Linked DNA regions of Macaca mulatta. The protein of the gene in region 1 purifies or fractionates together with the protein of each later gene. This does not show direct contact. Links are inferred from orthologs where the notes say so. Each region holds a gene or a part of one and is shown on either strand. Other genes may lie near its edges.

The links.
Region 2: the proteins of ING3 (region 1) and MRGBP purify together in Homo sapiens (co-immunoprecipitation; 4 studies listed by BioGRID and IntAct, counting the BioPlex papers as one, with this or other methods). This does not show direct contact. The link is inferred for Macaca mulatta from reciprocal best matches to the Homo sapiens genes ING3 and MRGBP.
Region 3: the proteins of ING3 (region 1) and EPC2 purify together in Homo sapiens (affinity purification with mass spectrometry; 3 studies listed by BioGRID and IntAct, with this or other methods). This does not show direct contact. The link is inferred for Macaca mulatta from reciprocal best matches to the Homo sapiens genes ING3 and EPC2.
Region 4: the proteins of ING3 (region 1) and ACTL6A purify together in Homo sapiens (affinity purification with western blotting; 3 studies listed by BioGRID and IntAct, with this or other methods). This does not show direct contact. The link is inferred for Macaca mulatta from reciprocal best matches to the Homo sapiens genes ING3 and ACTL6A.

Annotation. Positions count from the first base shown.
Region 1 is NC_133408.1:160,738,200-160,742,560, forward strand, and holds part of ING3 (inhibitor of growth protein 3), read left to right. Parts: intron 1-1,303; coding exon 1,304-1,400; intron 1,401-3,183; coding exon 3,184-3,255; intron 3,256-4,361. UniProt on the Homo sapiens protein: Component of the NuA4 histone acetyltransferase (HAT) complex which is involved in transcriptional activation of select genes principally by acetylation of nucleosomal histones H4 and H2A.
Region 2 is NC_133415.1:115,606,119-115,611,188, forward strand, and holds the start of MRGBP (MRG/MORF4L-binding protein), read left to right. Parts: upstream 1-1,895; 5' UTR 1,896-1,967; coding exon 1,968-2,115; intron 2,116-2,559; coding exon 2,560-2,681; intron 2,682-5,028; coding exon 5,029-5,070.
Region 3 is NC_133417.1:53,777,360-53,781,720, reverse strand, and holds part of EPC2 (enhancer of polycomb homolog 2), read right to left. Parts: intron 3,769-4,361; coding exon 3,632-3,768; intron 1,829-3,631; coding exon 1,669-1,828; intron 754-1,668; coding exon 420-753; intron 1-419. UniProt on the Homo sapiens protein: May play a role in transcription or DNA repair.
Region 4 is NC_133407.1:91,581,733-91,586,093, forward strand, and holds part of ACTL6A (actin-like protein 6A), read left to right. Parts: intron 1-2,364; coding exon 2,365-2,465; intron 2,466-3,381; coding exon 3,382-3,479; intron 3,480-4,361.

The DNA.
Region 1 (4,361 bases):
TTCAAAAAATAAAAACAGTTGTTTTCTGCATGCAGAAAGTTCAGAGGTCAATGTCAGGTAAATGGCAAAGCACAGTTCATTACAAATAAAGTTAAATTTGGTTTCTGTAATGCATTAGCTGTATGACTTTGGCCATATTACTTAAGTAACCCCTCTGAGCCTTAATTTCTTCACCTATAAAGTAGAGACAGTAATAACCTCAAAAGATCAGCTTGAGGGTTAGAAAAGATAGGTCATCTGATGCGCCAAGCACATTACCTGCTCTTCGTAGGCATCTAACCCATGCACATTGTGTTTTGCTACCTTTCTCTCCTTCTTCCTCATGTTAGTTATACATGGTTTAATTCTAAACCTTACTTACAATGTTGCCCTGATGCAGTATCATAGCACATTTTGATATCTGTAAGAAAGTTATTTCTAATTCTAGCAGTAATCCAATGGGAAACTAGACTTGGAAAAGGATGTTGTCAATAATGTGACATGAATATTTTTCAAAGAATTTGTGTGTTTTTTTGTTTCACTTCAAAGTAGTTTGAAAAAGTATTAAAAACTTTAATATTAAGCTTAAAAAATACATTAAGACTTTTTTGTTAGCTTGAGGCGTCATACAATTTTCTGAAGCTAGTCAAAAGATCTCTCAGTGACAAAATAAAATTTTGCCACATTAACTAGGGAAATTGTATTTTAAATAAAATAATTTTAACCAGGCCCTTTGAGGAATGGAGTTTTCTGACTAACAACCCCTTTTGTTTCACCTCTTCACATAAGTGTTTACAAGCATTATGATTCACTCTCATGCCTTAGAGAAATAAATGTATAGAATATAGGAACTTCTTTGTAGACTGAGGATCTTTCATCATTCTAAATAATAGCTTTTATCGTGTGACAGTGACAGTGTGGATGATGGCCTTATAAGTAGGAGGAGATTAGGCTCTAAGTAATCACAGGGCGTATTATGAAAAGTGACCAGCCTCCACCATCCCCTCCTCCCATTCTCTAATCCCTAATCAGTTTTGCTTTAATTTTCACGTCCTTACTTCTGAAAATGGAGTATAGAACATTTCCTAACAAGTTGAGAGTCTGGGTCTTAGAACTTAAAATTTATTAAAGGAGACTTCGGAGATTATTTAGCCTAGCACCCTCATTTTATAGATTAAAAACCTCTGAGGCATAGGTTAATTGACTTGCTCAAGGATACTAAGCAGATTGACTAAAAGAAACAAAGATTTAGGTTTCCTCATTAAACTGACACTTTAACAGTGTCCCAAATTTTGGTGGTTATCTTTGATCTTCTTTGAAACAGGTAGATCGACACTTGAGAAAGCTGGATCAGGAACTGGCTAAGTTTAAAATGGAGCTGGAAGCTGATAATGCTGGAATTACAGAAATATTAGAGAGGCGTAAGTAAAATTTACAGTTTTCCATCAATATTGGACAGTACATGTGCAAATCACTGAGAAGACCTTGTCTCACAGAGGCTTTTGAAACCTGCCCTTCAGTGGATGGTGGCATCCAGGTCAGATAGCTTGGACCCTAGCAGTTGGAAATGTTTGGGTCATGGATACTGAGAGAGATAATATAGGATATCATCCACTCACTCTTTATGAAATAACATATTAAATAATTTTATATTCACATATATTAGTAAGTTGAGTGGTAAGAACAAATTTAAAGAAACGTAACCATCGGGACACAAATTAACCATCTTGCATTAAGTATGTTGACTTTACTCTGCCTCTTTATACACTTAAGCTTTGAGGAAGGTTGTTAGTTTCTTAAGAATTGTTTTATGGCTTTTCCTTAACTGCATATACTGAAAAAGATTCCATTGGTTTCATAACACTACCTCTTTTTCTTAAAGAAGTGTTTCCCTCTTTCCCTTATCAGCAAGAAACCATTTTAATATTTCTTTGCAAGGCTCTATTTGATCTCCTGCTATAACTTACCCCTGTCACTTCTTTGGTGTGTCTTCCCAAAAATGGAAGCGTGAGCACTGTTTCCTTGACTAATTTAGCATTTCCTCCAACCTAAATAGGTAATATACATAAAAGCAGTTAGTGTGGTACTTGGTATAGAGTAGGCACTCACTGGATGTTAATTGAACCAAGTTAGTATTATGGCTAATTTCTACTAGAATTTAATTAAAACTTTCAAACATATTTTTTCTTGATGCATTTCAACAGCAAGAATATATACCTGTTTCTACACACAGATGAAAGGTTTCTTTACAGTGCCAATCTATGTATCTCTCTATATAGTCACTAGAAGTCAGCTAGGGAAGCCAATCACAGATCTGTCTTGGTGTCTATAGTTGCATTTTTGTGTTCAAAAGTAGATGCATCACTTTAGATAATCATCTATTTATTTGTGATACTTTTCTTCTGGAGGAACCCTATATAAAGATAATAAGTATTTTGAGACAAAATTAAAAATTCTGTAGCTGCTTTGATTTTTAAAAAATGCTGATGATAGCTGTGAGTAATGATAATTCATGCCTATTCAGTACTGCAGGAAGGTTACTAAAGCATCCTCTCTAAGGACACAGACATATGAAACAAAATTGGATCAAGTTATAAAAACTGCTCCACCCTGTGCCCTGCCATAATTTCATCTCAAGGGATCAAAAATAAACCCAGAAAAATTTATTTAGAGGTGTTTTAAAGCTTGGTGTTACAAATTCTATTCCTCACTTTTTGCAAACAAATCCCTAACTTCTTTTAGGAAGTCTTTATTACCATAATGTCATTTTAATGATCAAATAATTTTTTTCATATAGTAATGTCCCCCATCACATAGAACTTTAGAATCTCCCATTAAAACATCTTCAAGTCAGTAAAACTAGATTGACTCTTACCAGTAATGAGATTACAATGTCCATTCATTCATTTATATGCCACCCACTGTGGTGAATTCCCTAATTAGACACGAGTATTCCTTGAGCCATATTGTACTTAAGGTAAATATTGGGAAAGGGATAACTTATTGTTTAGAGAGAGGATATACTCAGTGTGGGATGGACAGTGGTGATCCTCTAACATGTCTGGCTAAAATAATACAGGCATATGCATCAGAACTTGCTAGTCCTCTGCTGGGTAAGGGAACTCATTGCCTGTAGTTGAGTGATATGTGAAGTTCTGCGGTGACATTTAATGGTGGTGTATCTCTGTGCCTCTCTTCTTTTAGGATCTTTGGAATTAGACACTCCTTCACAGCCGGTGAACAATCACCATGCTCATTCACATACTCCAGTGGAAAGTAAGTTTGGTGTAGTGCAGCTAAGTTTTAAAAACAATGAAAACCTTATTATATCATCTGTATGTTCTCTTTTTTTAACTCTATACAACCAATTGAGAAGTAAATCCCTTCTTTTTTTTTTTTTATTGCAAGTACTGGCAGACTTATCTTTTTCCTTGAGGAGAGCATAGGTGATTCGGAAATGAGTATTCTGTTTTCTCTTAAATGTGTAGAGGGAGAATGTATAGTACTAATAGCATATATTCCCTTCATATACATACCTGATTCTCCTTAGGGAGCTAAGCATATATTCTAATAACATATATTCCCTTCATACGCATACCTGATTCTTCTTAGGGAGCTAAGCATATATTTTAATAATATGTATTCCCTTCATACTCATACCTGATTCTCCTTAGGGAGCTAAGCATATATTCTAATAGCATATATTCCCTTCATACACATATCTAATTCTCCTTAGGGAGCTAAGCATATATTCTAATAACATATATTCCCTTCATACACATACCTGATTCTCCTTAGGGAGCTAAGCATATATTCTAATAACATGTATTCCCTTCATACTCATACCTGATTCTCCTTAGGGAGCTAAGCGTATATTCTAATAACATATATTCCCTTCATACACATACCTGATTCTCCTTAGGGAGCTAAGCGTATATTGTAATAACATATATTCCCTTCATACACATACCTGATTCTCCTTATTCAACTGAGCCAAACAATAAACTATTTTGTAATAGGCCCTTTGTCTTTTTTATCCTTGCTTCTCCAGTGCTTAACCTAATGTTTGGCATATAATTAAGTCTGAATGGTTGGTAAGTCAGTGAGTGGATGAATTGTTAGTCAGATGACTGCTGGCTAGTTGATACAGTCAAAAAATGACTGTATCAGTGCTTCTTTTGACACATCAATTTGGTGGGAAAAGATAGTTGACTGAACACTATTCTAAGTGGTAGATGATGTTTTGAAAACAAAGTTTCCCTCACATTGTATGTGAGCCCATGGTGTATCTTGAGTTATCTTTAGTACTTCGCTACTGAAGTTTTTTAAATGGTGGAGAAGTCTACTCTTAATAAACATGTGACACAGAGTTCTACTTGTCC
Region 2 (5,070 bases), on another chromosome or scaffold:
AGAGCTCGGGCTGGGCGGCCGGGAGTCGGAGGCAGGCGGTCAAGGCCGGCAGGGCCGGACCCCCTCCTTGCCCCTGCTCCCAGGAGGCGCTGGACTCCGGAGGCTGGCGTGAGGCCCTCGATCCCGCGCCCAGACCCGGGCAGTGAGCTCTATGCCTGCAGTAATTGTGGGATTGCTGGTTTTGTTTTTTCCTTAGCACCTTTATTGAGATCATAGAGTTCACCCGCTTAAAGCGCACGATTCGGTGGGGTTCTGTTGCGAGCAACCGTGGCCATTATCTAATTCCAGAGCATTTCACCTCCTTAAAAAGAAGCTGGGCCGTAGCCCGGCGCGGTGGCTCAAGCCTGTAATCCCAGCACTTTGGGAGGCCGAGGAGGGGGGGAATCACCTGAGGTCAAGAGTTCGAGACCAGCCTGGCCAACATGGTGAAACCGCATCTCTACTAAAAATACAAAAATTAGCCGGCCGTAGTGAGGGCCTGTGGTCCCAGCTTCTCGGGAGTCTGTCGGGAGAATTGCTTGAACCCGAGAGGCAGAGGTTGCAGTGAGCCAAGATCGCGCCATTGCACCCCAGCCTGGGCAACAGAGCGAGACTCTGCCTCAGAAACAAAAAAGAAGCCGATCCCCATCCGCAGTGACTCGCGTTTCCCTCCCCCTCCCCCGTCCCCGGCAACTGTGCGTCTACTTTCTATTTCTATGGAGTTGCCAGTTCTGGCTCTTCCTGTGAATGGATTCCCATGCTGCGTATTTTGGTGTCTGAATTCTCTGACTTTCGTCTCAGCCCGCACCCACGCTGCCGCAGTCCGCGCTCGCGGCTTTTAGGCTGAACGCGGCTGCGCCGTGCGGGTGCCCGCGCTCCGTGCGCCCCTAGCCGGTTCAGCCCCGGTTGGGGGCGGCGCTAGCCTTGCGGCTGCGGATCCCAGCCTGAACCTGTGTCTTGTTCCACCGTTGCGGGCGCCCGCCACGGAGCTGCTGCCTCCTAGGGAGACGGTTCCATCGTTGAAGGAACGGCCGTTCTGTCTTTCGCAGCAGCGACTCCATCTGGCCCCACAGCACGACCGCACGAGGGTCCCGAGTCCGGATCCTCGCAGTACTCGCCACCCCGGCCGCGTAGTTGCGGCGGTCTCGGCGGGGAAGGGGGTCCCCACGCGGGCTGGTTCGCGTTTCGCGTGACCGATGGTGTTCATTGGCCATCTATACATCTTTTTTTTTCTTTTTCCCGAGTCGGAGTTTCTCTCTTGTTGCCCAAGCTGGATTGCAATGGCGCGATCTCCGCTCACTGCAACCTCCGCCTCTCGGGTTCAAGCGATTCTCCTGCCTCAGCCTCTCGAAGTAACGGGGATTACAGGCGCCCGCCACCACGGCCGGCTAATTTTTTTGTATTTTTAGTAGAGACGGGATTATGCCATGTTGGCCAGGCTGGTCTCGAATTCCTGACCTCAGATGATCCTCCCGCCTCGGCCTCCCAAAGTGCTGGGATTACAGGCGTGAGCCACCGCGCCCGGCCCATCTGTACATCTTCTTTGGAAAAATGTGTATCCAAATCCTTTGCCGTTTTATAGTTAGACTGTCTTTTTATTATAGAGTTATATTTATACCTTCTGCAAGGAAGTTCCTTATCAGATACAGGATTTGCAAATACTTTCTCCCAATCTGTGGGTCGTCTTTTCACTTTGCTGATGGTTTTCTTTGAAGCAAAAAAGTTTTCTGTTGTTGTTTGGGTGAAGTGTTAGAACACTTACTGTGCTTTAAAGAGGAACACGTTTTAAGCACCCCCGCACGGGGCGGAGCAGGGCGGAGTCCCCGGCGGGAAGGAACCCGAGGCCTCGGCTGCGCCTGCGCCGACGCCGGCGCGTGAGCCCGAGCTCGTGCCTGGCGGAGCGCGCGCCCGCCCCCGAGTGCGCCTGCGCGGAGCTCGTGGCCGCGCCTGCTCCCGCCGGGGGCTCCTTGCTCGGCCGGGCCGCGGCCATGGGAGAGGCCGAGGTGGGCGGCGGGGGCGCCGCAGGCGACAAGGGCCCAGGGGAGGCGGCCACCAGCCCGGCGGAGGAGACAGTGGTGTGGAGCCCCGAGGTGGAGGTGTGCCTCTTCCACGCCATGCTGGGCCACAAGCCCGTCGGTGAGCGCCCAGGCCGCGGACGCGCGTGGGGGCGGGGCGGGCAACCGGCGGGGCGGGGCGGGGCCTGCGCTCGCGACACCCGCGCCCCCACGCGCCCCGCCGAGCCCGGGCCGTGACACCCCCGCCACACCCGTCCCGGGACCCCCGCCCCCTCCCACGCGCCCTTCGGACCCCGCCCCGGACCCCGCCCCCGGCCCCTACCCCCGTGACACCGCGAGGCCCCAGCCCGCAGCGCCCCACCCCCACCTCTGCCCCGGGACGCCCCACCCCCTCCCACACACACCACCCAGCCCTGCCCCCCGACAGCCCCTCCGCACCCTGGCCCACCCCATCCCACCGCGGCCACCCTTGCCCCTCCAGTCCCCAGGGCACCCTGTCCCCTCCATCCCCTTTCTCCTTCTCCTCCCCTCTGACCGGTTGTCCCGCCGCCCCTCCTCCCCCCAGGTGTGAACCGACACTTCCACATGATTTGTATCCGGGACAAGTTCAGCCAGAACATCGGGCGGCAGGTCCCATCCAAGGTCATCTGGGACCACCTGAGCACCATGTACGACATGCAGGCACTGGTGAGCCCAACCACCCTCCCTGTGCTGCCCGATGGGGGCACGAACCCACACACCGCTGAGGGTCAGCCTGAGCTGGGCAGAGCAGAGGCCCCTCCATGCCTGCTGGGGTCTGCTGGGCAGAGCCCCCTGCAGTGAGACCCATCCTTAAGGAGGGCATCCCAGGGCTCCAGAGCCTGTCATGGAAAGCACAAACACAATGCTAGCAGCTGGCCAGCTTTTCAGGGGGCCTGCTTTAGACTGGGTGCTGGGCCAGAGCCTCCAGCTGAGACCCTGGGGAGGGAGGGAAGGATGCAGAGTCCCCAGGCCCTTAGGCCCTTGTCAGCCTCCCGGGATGCCCCAGAAGTGCTTTAGGCAGAGGGTGACCCTATCTGAGTCACACCAAGGTGAATTTGGTGGCTTCTGTGGGAGTCAGGCAAATAGAGTCCCAGTCCTCACAGAGCTTGGAGCTGGCAGTGTGTGACGGGCGAGCGCGTTAGCTAGGTAAGCAGGCTGGCCACAAGAGACAGGTGGGTGTTGCAGGCTCTGTGGCAGCAGGAGGTGGTGGGTCCAGGAGTTGAAAGAAGGTGGTGTGCTTGGAGAATGGGGTGGGGGTCAGGGGTCAGGTGACCAGGAGGAGTGGGGACCTGTGCTGGTGGAAGGAGAGTCTGTGCCAGCCACGCTGGACTCAGGGCCACACCAGCCCTTCCAGGAAGACATAGGGGCACCACTGAGGCAAGGAATGCTTGCCGTTGACATTGGTGGAGTGATGTGGGTCTCCTTGTCATAGCTGTAGAAAGGGGACAGAGATGCCAGCCGTGCAGGGGCCTGGCTGTCTGAGGAGAGGAAGGATGCTCAGCCCTAGAAATGCCCTGGAAGCTTAAGCCCCTGTTGCTGCCGCCTCGTGTGTTGAGGACGTTCTGAGCCAGTGCGGCATTTGCACTGGGTGACCAGTACCTAGTGGCCCAGACACAGCTGGCTACTAAGCTCACAAGGTCCTCCCTGGACCCGCTCCTCCCTAGAGCGTATCCATCAGCCATTGAACTCTGGTCACCACCCCTCAGGGTCAGAGGCCCCCTGTCACCAAACTCCCAGCAGCTTCTTGGTTGTGGGAGAGGGCGCTAGGTCCCCAGACACCTCCCACACCGGGATTTGGAGAGATCGGTGTAAATCTATGCCTGTCTCTGGGGAAGACAAACAGCTCCAAGGCCCATAATGTCCCCTGGGGCATGGGTGCTGGCTCAGATGAGCACAGCAGCCCACATGACACTCAGGAAGCCATGTGGGACCGCCAGGCCTTTCAGCCCTAGGACTGTGGCCCTGTTCCTTATTCCTGCAGTGGCCTATGACATCAGTAAGGACTGGGCAAGACCACAGGCTGGCACTTTCTCTGGACCATGACACTTCTGTGTGACTGAGATCTGAGTCTTTCAGACCTTATGAAATACAGAGCCCCTGGAGTACCCCCGAGAGGCTGACCAGCTGGCCCAGGAGATTTTGAGGAGCACAAATGTGGCCTGACTGCCTGTTCCATACAGCACCCAAACTGCCGAGTAGAAGCCCCTGTCTCCTGAATCGCCTCCCAGTCCAGGGCCCTTCCCGCCAGCTCCACTTTTCCCTGGCTCCCGGTCTCTCCCTCTGGTCTGTGTGACCTCAGGAGGGCAGTGCCTGGCAAGCACTCGGGTGGCCCTGCTCCATCTGCTCTTCTTCCTTGCCTGGTTCTGTGCCTGTGGCGCTCCCAACTGACACCCTCAGTGTCCATGGGTTCCTGCCATGTGGATGAGAACTCGAGGTGCCTGCGGCCTTTCCCCAGGGCTGTCACCGTGCCCTCTGCACACCGCCTTAGGGAACGCAGTCTCTTGGTGAGACCATAGGTCGTGGTGGGCAGGCAGGACCCACAGGTGTGCAGTCTCTTGGTGAGACCGTAGGTCGTGGTGGGCAGGCAGGACCCACAGGTGTGCAGTCTCTTGGTGAGACCGTAGGTCGTGGTGGGCAGGCAGGACCCACAGGTGTGCAGTCTCTTGGTGAGACCGTAGGCCGTGGTGGGCAGGCAGGGCCCACAGGTGTATGTCACCAGGGCTACCCGGTCCTCAGGGCCCACCTTAGTGATGCCGGCCCCGGTGGGTCTTCCTGACCCCTGCACGTGCCTCCACTGGTTCTGCCCTCCCTGGGTCTGTCTGAAAAGCCCAGCTGTAGCAGGCACTGTTCACAAAAAGAAGAAATGCCCTTTGCCCATGCCCCGCCCACCGCAGCCTCCAACACAGTGACGTGTGCTCGCTGGCTGCTCGCCAAGTGGCTCTTACATGGCTGTAGTGGCTTCTTGAAACCGCATCTTCACCCTTGTTTCTTAAAACTCTCTATTTGACATCAGCATGAGTCTGAGATTCTTCCATTCCCGAATCCAGAGAGGAAC
Region 3 (4,361 bases), on another chromosome or scaffold:
AATTGCTTGAACCCGGTAGGCGGAGCTTGCTGTGAGCCGAGACTGCACTCCAGCCTGGGCAAGAGAGCGAGACTCCATCTTGGGGGTGGGGTGGGGGGGAGGGGGGAAAAGTAACTGAAGCTTCTAACATAGACTGTGATGTGTTTAACAATTTGATGTCCTTTTCTTTCTTTTCCTTTCTCTCTCTCTACTACTACTCTCCCTTTCTCTAATAATCCTACTAGGTTGGCATTTAAGCATCCTACTAGGCACCTTAAACAAATAACTAAGTCACAGAATTTTATACAGATCTTCAGTATCTATTGAAAATCAAGTCTGTCAATAAACACCTATTGCTTGAGCAGTGTAAAAAAAAGTCTTTTTCTTCCCACAGGACAGCCAGCACAAAGGGTTCTCATCACTGAAACACACACACACACCTTGCTATGCTGCTGATGGCACTGCTGGGAGTAACCTTTGGCACTCTGTCCATACTGGCAGCAACTGTGGCAAGTTTTAAGGCTGTTGGCGATGGTGCTGAAGTCCGTGTATTGATATGCACATTGACTGGAGAAACAACACTGACATTATTGAGGTGCACTGCATTTGTCAGGCAGGAATTGTTCATGGGAAGTGTCTGAGGACTGCTTGTGCACAATGCTGGGATTAAGTGGTTTGTAGTGGTGTGGCCAACTGTCCTTACAAGTTGTACAGCTGAAATCCCTGGGCTAGATGATAAAGCCATATTGGTGGAGTATAATGTTTTAGAGGTTCCTGAAAAACAAAAAAGTCATTCAATTAGTATCATGAGACATCAATAAAACTATTTTTAGAAGTTTAATAAAAATAAATACAAATATTTGTATTTGAATTGAATGCCAAGTTAACTTTTCACACACCGATCTCTCCAAAGGGAGCTTCTGATCACTAAGTAGAATGTACTAATCTGCTACAACCCCCAAAACATCCTCTTTCTACTGGTCTACAAAAAAGAGCTTTGCGAAGTATCCTGCTGCCTATATCTGGCAACTGTGGAGTTAAGTATAACAGGACAGATGGAAATGACAGTTGGGTTTCCCTAAGAATGCACACATGCATGAATATTAGTAAAAATGGACAATCAGGCTCATGAGTATATATAAAAGCAACTGGAAAATCCTAGGGTCTGAGAGGTAGCTGAAGGATGATAGGAATAGCAAGTTTTTGCGGACTCAAGGTACTAAGAAGCAGACAGGGTTTCATGGCAATACTCTTTCTAAAGAGGCGGAGCCAGAGGAAGTATGCCTATGAGTGGTATGTAAGAGTGGGAGGGCAAACCTGATTTCCAGTTTATTACTGTCCTGGGTTATATTTCACCTTTTTATCAATGCATGGATGATTCAATGGGGATGGTTAGCTCAACAGATTTCCTAAGATGTGAGGCAACTAACAGTATGTGAATGAAACCAGGAAGGGTAGAGTGTTACACAGGTTATGTATTCAATGGATGAGGGAGAAAACAAGGAGTAGATTCTATGTGAATTCTAGAAACATCTAGCTATTTCTCCCTATCTTTCCAAAGAAATCCTAAAGAGTCCTGATTGACTTCTTATACACATTTTCTCCTTGGATAAAAAAACAAAAACCATACTCCCAATTACTGAGTTACAACTTCAAGAAAGTAGGTACCATGTGAAACCCCAGCTGTACCTGAAGGCTGGACAACACCGTTTATGTTGTTGTGGCCAGTGTTCTGTTCCTTGGCTACCTCACTGCGACTTGGAACAGGTGCACTGACCACTGCAGATGCAGCAAAGTGGGCGCTTGCTGAGTCAAGTGTTTTAGACATACAGTCAGAGGTGCTTGAGCCCTATAGAATGAACAAAGTTAAATTCTCTAATTTTTAGATGTAATTTTATGAACATATTAAGGGATGGGGCAAACCCAAGAGGCTGTTGCCTTTCTAACCTTGAACAATTATAAGTGTTTAGATTAAGAGATCTAGGATTCCATAGACGATTTTTGGTAAATGAAGCAGGGAAGTGAACAAAAACTGGGAATTTATTTCTGAGAAAGAACTAGAGATTAAATAACCCAAGGCTTTAATGTTCTATTAATTTTTCCAGTAAATATTAATGAATGCTTTTAAAAATGCTTGACAAACTAGATACTTGGATAAAATGAAATCAAAGATATAATTAATAGATATTTTTGTCACAACGTGAAAAGCTATCTTGGCCTAACCCTGAAACAGGCTGAAACTACTTTAGGCTGGTTAACCAAGAGACTGAGAAAAGTTTAAATAGCCATTCCTCCTTCATTCTGTATAAAACTGGTTACTAAATCCTACAGCCCTAGTCCTTGAGCAAGTCCCAGATACACCTGGATGTCACAGGAGTGTTGGGTTCCAAAGTCACTGAGATACTCATGTTACTGGAGTCAGGGTCTTTAAAGTCAGTGTACTGACCCTTTGAGAATGGGCTGAACCACAACGGGCAGATTCTAGCCTGCGAGCTCACAAAATATAACCAAGATTGAGTAAATCTCAGTTACTACTTTAGAAGTGGTTTTAGAATTATAGAGCAATAAAATTTAAGACCTAAAATGCAAGGTTTATGTTTTTCAGGTGGTTCAAATTTGAAATAAGATTTCTTAGTTTTGTTTTTAGTGGCTTAAAATAGAAATTTATCATCATATAGTTCTGTAGGCCAGAAGTCCACAATGAAGCTTATGGGGTTAAAATCAAGGTGTTGGCAAGGCTGGTTCCTTCTGGCAATTATGGTTTTATGAAGTATTTTTATTCTTATCTCTAGCATCTTTATTTAGTGGTGTCTACAAACAACTTCCCTTAGTGGCAATTTTCTTCTTCATTTTTAAAAACTTTTATTTATTTATTTATTTATTTTTTTGAGACACAGTCTGACTCCATCACCCAGGCTGGAGTGCAGTGGCGCGATTTAGCTCACTGAAACTTCCCCTTCAGAGTTCAAGTGATTCTCATGCTCCAGTCTCCCAAGTAGCTGGGCTTACAGGTATGTACCACCATGCCCAGTTAATTTTTGTATTTTTAGTAGAGACAGGGTTTTGCCATGTTGGCCAGGCTGATCTCGAACTTCCGACCTCAAGTGATCTGCCTGCCTCAGCTGCCCAAAGTGCTGGGATTACAGGCGTGAGCCACCGTGCCTGGCTGCAATTTTCTTCAACAGGAAAATGTGATTCACAATGGCAAGGCATTATGCTGTTAATATATTGCACAATTCAACTGAATTACTGCCCAGCTTATGAAGCACATCCACATGGCACTTAAACACATAGTTTAGGAAGTGGTTAGGAAAGTTATATCTTTCAAAAAAATCTTCTTTGGGGGAGTAGAGGTGGAGAATGATTCTTACAACTGCATATATAATTACTTCTATAAATTCTTAACAACCCTTCAAAAAATTTAAAATACCGTATCTGGCTCCAGAACTCTTCTCAAAGTATTAAGAGACTAGTTTATAAGCTAGTCACTTAAAATTACGTACATTAACTGAAAAGAAATTCAGGTTAGAGCCCCCAAATCAAGAGTGGCAAAACCAAGATTATCTTCTTGGTATCTGACTTGACTAAAATGGAATAAAACTACATACTGATGAAAGAAACAGACATAACTATGACAAAAAGAGCAGTTTACCTGTGCTTTTGGATGTGTCTGTTGCGAGGAATGCTGAGATTGCTGTTTCTGCTGAAGCTGGGCAAGTTGCTGCCTTTGCATCTGAACTAACTGCTGCTGATGTGTCTGAAACTGCTCTTCCGTGATACCCCCTGTTACTGGTAAACAACATGAATTTTGGAAATGAGTACGTTTTAAAAGATTTTTAATAACATAAGCAGAATATAAATTTACTCCACAATTAAGATGAAAGCAATAACAAACTACAATATGGATTATCAGAAAATAATCTAATGAAAATGAAATCTTTCATCAAGTATGCTTGTATCTGTGATCTCCATCACATGCTAAGAAAAGTGTCTAAATGTAGTTTTTGTTGAATAATATAGTTCTAACATGAATATTTTACCATTTATTCAGACTTAACATCTTTGAGACCACCCTTAATTCTCTACATTATGACGAGCAAGTAATGAGAAAAACTTTGATTTATTCATGTTAATAGTAATAAAATAATCACTAAGTTATAGCCTTAATAAGAAAGTAGGACCATCTGCAAGACTGTCAATGATTTTTACTGCTGGTTTCATATAATATTGAAGTGAAAATATTTTATTCTCTGATTACAAATCAAAGTAGAGAGCAACATTCATCTAACATAACCATAAACTATAATTTAAGACAACAGATTCAATGTCTGAAGTAAATCCATCTATAAAAATATGGGCTAGAAATCAGACAAGTATTCAGA
Region 4 (4,361 bases), on another chromosome or scaffold:
CGAGGGAGTGAAAGCAAGAGAGAAGTTGAGAAAGTTTCCTAGATTTTTGGTTGGAGTAACTCTGAACAGAGAGTACCATGCATTGAGATAGGAATAGAAAGGGAAGAAGCAAGTTTTATGGTTTTAAAAGGCATGGTTGGCCATGCGCGGTGGCTTGCGTCTGTATAATCCCAGCACTTTGGGAGGCTGAGACTGCGGGTGGATTGCTTGAGTCTAGGAGTTCGAGACCAGCCTGGGCAACATGGTGAAACCCCATCTCTACTAAAAATACAAAAATTTGCCAGGTGTGGCGATACATACCACCTGTAATCCCAGCTACTCAGGAGGCTAAGGCATGAGAATCACTTGAACCCAGGATGCAGAGGTTGCAACTGAGATCCCATGACTGCACTTCAACCTGGGTGACAGACCGAAATTCTGTCTCAAAAAAAAGAAAGAAAAAGAAAAAAGCGAGGTTATCAGGGATACTCCAAATCACTCTCAGGTTCAGTTACTCACCAGCAAGACTCCCTCACAGGACTCAGCATATGGTTGTATTCACAGCTAAGATTTATTGTACTGAAGATTCGGATTCAAAACAAAATCGACAAAGGGAAAAGGGACAGGGGATGATGAAGTCCAGATGCAAGCTTCGGAGAGTTTTCTCACAGTGGAGTCACACAGGATGTGCTTAATCCCTCCATCAACAAGTTACAACCTGTGTTATCTTCCAGGAGAACTCTGAAACTCAGTACCCAAGGATTTTACAGAGGGCTGGTTATGTAGGTACCATGTACCTGGCATGTAACAAAATTTTAGATTATCAGAAGGAAAGCAAGTGTTCAGAACCAACCACATTGTACAAACAGTGTAGGTATAGCGAGCTACTCTTACCATTTAGGGACAAGTTTTATATGAACATAGGGAACTGTTTGCCAATCGTGTTTCCAGACACCAGCTAAGAGTGAGCTTTACAAGCAGGCCTTTCTCAGGCTTGCAGTGTTAACTCTTTCATGTATAGTAAGTAAATGGGTTCACTAAGTTAAAAGTGCTTAGAACATCCAGGTGACAATTCTGTAAACAGGGGAATAAAAGATTATAAGAAAGATTTTAAGACATGGAATTGCTTTTTATTACTCTGAAAAAATTTGGAATATGGGAAGAGGATTGAAGATGGAGTTCTTAGCAAAAAACTTGTATATTTTAACCAATAGAGAATAAAAGGTACCCTTAAAGGAGAATGAAAGGGAACAATTAGGGATGTAGGAAAAAATTCAGGGGAAGAATAAGAAAAGAAAAAGTTTCTGGAAGCATAAAATTCCATTTATTCTCAGTGTTTTCCGCTGTGACATTGAAAGCTTTACACTAAGAAAGAAGTTAAAAAAATCCAGGTGGGCCTGTGGAAATATATAATTAATGACATTTTTTCTTTGGGCTGCAGTAGAAAAGTTTGTAAACTCTTGTGAAGGCAATACTGTTATAATTTAGAGAAGTCAGATGAGATTAAAAATGTTAAGTGTCCATGAATTTGCCTAGTAGAAGGTCATTCGCGACTGGGGGCGGTGGCTCACACCTGTAATCCCAGCACTTTGGAGGCCGAGGTGGGTAGATCACCTGAGGTCAGGAGATAGAGACCAGCCTAGTCAACATGGTGAAACCCTGTCTCTACTAAAAATGCAAAAATTAGTTGGGCATGGTGGCGGGCACCTGTAATCCCAGCTACTTGGGAGCCTGAGACAGGAGAATTGCTTGACCCCAGAAAGCAGAGGTTGCAGTGAACCGAGATTGCGCCATTGTACTCCAGTCTGGGCGAGAGAGTGAGACTCCATCTCAAAAAAAAGAAGGTCATTAATGACTTATGTCAGTAGTTTTAATGGAATGTTTAGGTGGAAGCCAAATTGAAGACAGATGTTCTTCTTTGAATTTTTAACATGTCTTTTAGTCTTTTTCCAAATAGATTGTAAGCTTTTTTGAGTGTTGGGTCTAGACCATACAAATCTTTGTTGTTTTTTTTTTTTTAAACCCAGCAGTAGTATCATTTAGAAGGCCATATAATTCTTCTGTACTTCCTGTTATTCTGATCACATTCTGGGCCTCTAATAAGTATTTATTGAATTGAATAACATTTACTTGGTATTTTAGGTCTGTTAGATTAATTACATTTGGGATAGGTCTGGGGGCTGGAGGGACCAAAAAGAAGTTCTATATATCTAGAAGACAAAGGTAATCTTTATATAAAGTACTGTGGTATGAAGTTGATCTGTAAAATCAGTAGGTTCTGTATAATACGGTATTAATTGTTAAGTCACAGAAACAATTTCTCAAAATATGTTGTATTCATCTTCAACTATGCATTGTTTCCAAGTTACTAATCTTATATTCTAGTTGAAGACTGGGATAGTTTCCAGGCTATTTTGGATCATACCTACAAAATGCATGTCAAATCAGAAGCCAGCCTCCATCCTGTTCTCATGTCAGAGGCACCGGTGAGATAAAGATTTTCTTTTTCATGTTTCTGTAGTTGTTTTTTTTTTTTTTTCTTTTTTCCTTTAGTTTTCTACTCATTTGATGAATATTTTTCTATAAAGAGGCATAGAAATTCAGAAATTCATATTTTGAATTTGAAAATTAGGGAAAAAGATTAATTTTTTAATACTATTGTAACTTTCATTTTACTATTCTGATAAAATATGCAGAGAACAACAAAACACACTAATGAATTCTTGTGGTTATTTATGTATTTCTAGGGATTTAACATTTTATTTCCTAGGACTGCTTCCCATTTTGAATTACGAATCATTTCTTGTGCCCCAAGGGCAGCGTATATCTACTTTATTCAAGTTTCCAAGAGAGAATTGAGATGTTGAACAAGGGCTGGAAATTTCTGGACCAAAGTCTCTTGTGAAATACATTTGGTACATAGACAGAAACGACCCAGAAAGCAAGCATAATGGTCATAAATTATCAGTATCTTATTGTTGCTAACTTATAGTTTCTTTTATGAATACCATCTATAAGTGGGAGAATTTGGTGGTCTAAAATTCATACTTAGGATTTGGATTGACCATATTTACTCTTTAGATTTAATAATATGTTTATAAGAATACTGATTTCCTCATATGTGGAAAAGTCTCTAATTTCTAGAATTTATAGAAGCAATTTTATTATTAAAGAATTTTAATTCTTATCTGATTGATTTGTTAAATTTAATCTACATCTAAAGAAATATAGAGGTTTTGTTTTTATTTTTGTGAGATATTATTATGAAAGATTATTTCCCATGGTATTTTTTGCTGTTCTTATTGTTTTATTTCTTTGTTAATATAGTGCTAGATTTTATCTGGAGATAAATCAACTTTTTAATTCTTAATAACTTGCATTTCTTTTTCCCCTCTTCTCAAGTGGAATACTAGAGCAAAGAGAGAGAAACTGACAGAGTTAATGTTTGAACACTACAACATCCCTGCATTCTTCCTTTGCAAAACTGCAGTTTTGACGGCGTATCCTTGAAAGAGTAATACCTTTCCTCTTGAAGTGTATACCATACTACTGAATGTGATAACTCTGGCAGAAGACATAAGCCAATTATTGCTTGTTCAGAAGTTGTTTTTTTCTCTTTTCTCTTGCTTTTTAGCTATTCATCTTTTGGTGTTTCTCATTAGAACTGATGATACACTAGAAAGTATGAGGGAAATAAAGTAACACTCAAATTCTGAGTGTTAAGACGTTTTTGTTTTTAGGAAGGTGCATGTGGATAGAAGGCAATATTTTAACCAGTTGGCTTAGACGAAATGAAAGATTGCCATTTTCTCCCTCCCTTCCAATATCACAGAAAACTGGAAATTGGCTGTAAATTCATTCCCCTTCAAATTTAGTCAGTCATCAAGTCCCACCTATTCTTTCCTGCTATTTGTTTCTCTCTTTCCCACTGCCACAGCATTAGGTGGAAGCTATTTCCAGGATTACTGAAGCACATCCTCTTGTCTGCCCATTCTTTACACTGTTGATCTAATAATCTTTCTATTTTTATTTATTTATTTATTTGGTAGAGATGGAGTTTCACCATGTTGCCCAGGCTGCTCTCTAACTCCTGGACTCAAGCGATCTGCTTGCCTCGGTCTCCCAAAGTGCTGAGATTACAGGCATGAGCCACCATGCCCAGCCTCTAATAATCTTTCTAAAGTGCTAGTCTGCTTTAAGCTAGAATCATCTTCTACATTTCTTCCTTTTACTTTCAGACCGTACTGAGGTGCTTGCAGTTCTCTGACCTCGCTGTGTTCTCTTGCCTCCTGGTCTTCCCACATGCTCCTACTCTTGCCCATATTCCCTTCCCCATAATTAACAATTGGATATCCCAGGAATAGGCTTCTCTTTTACACCAC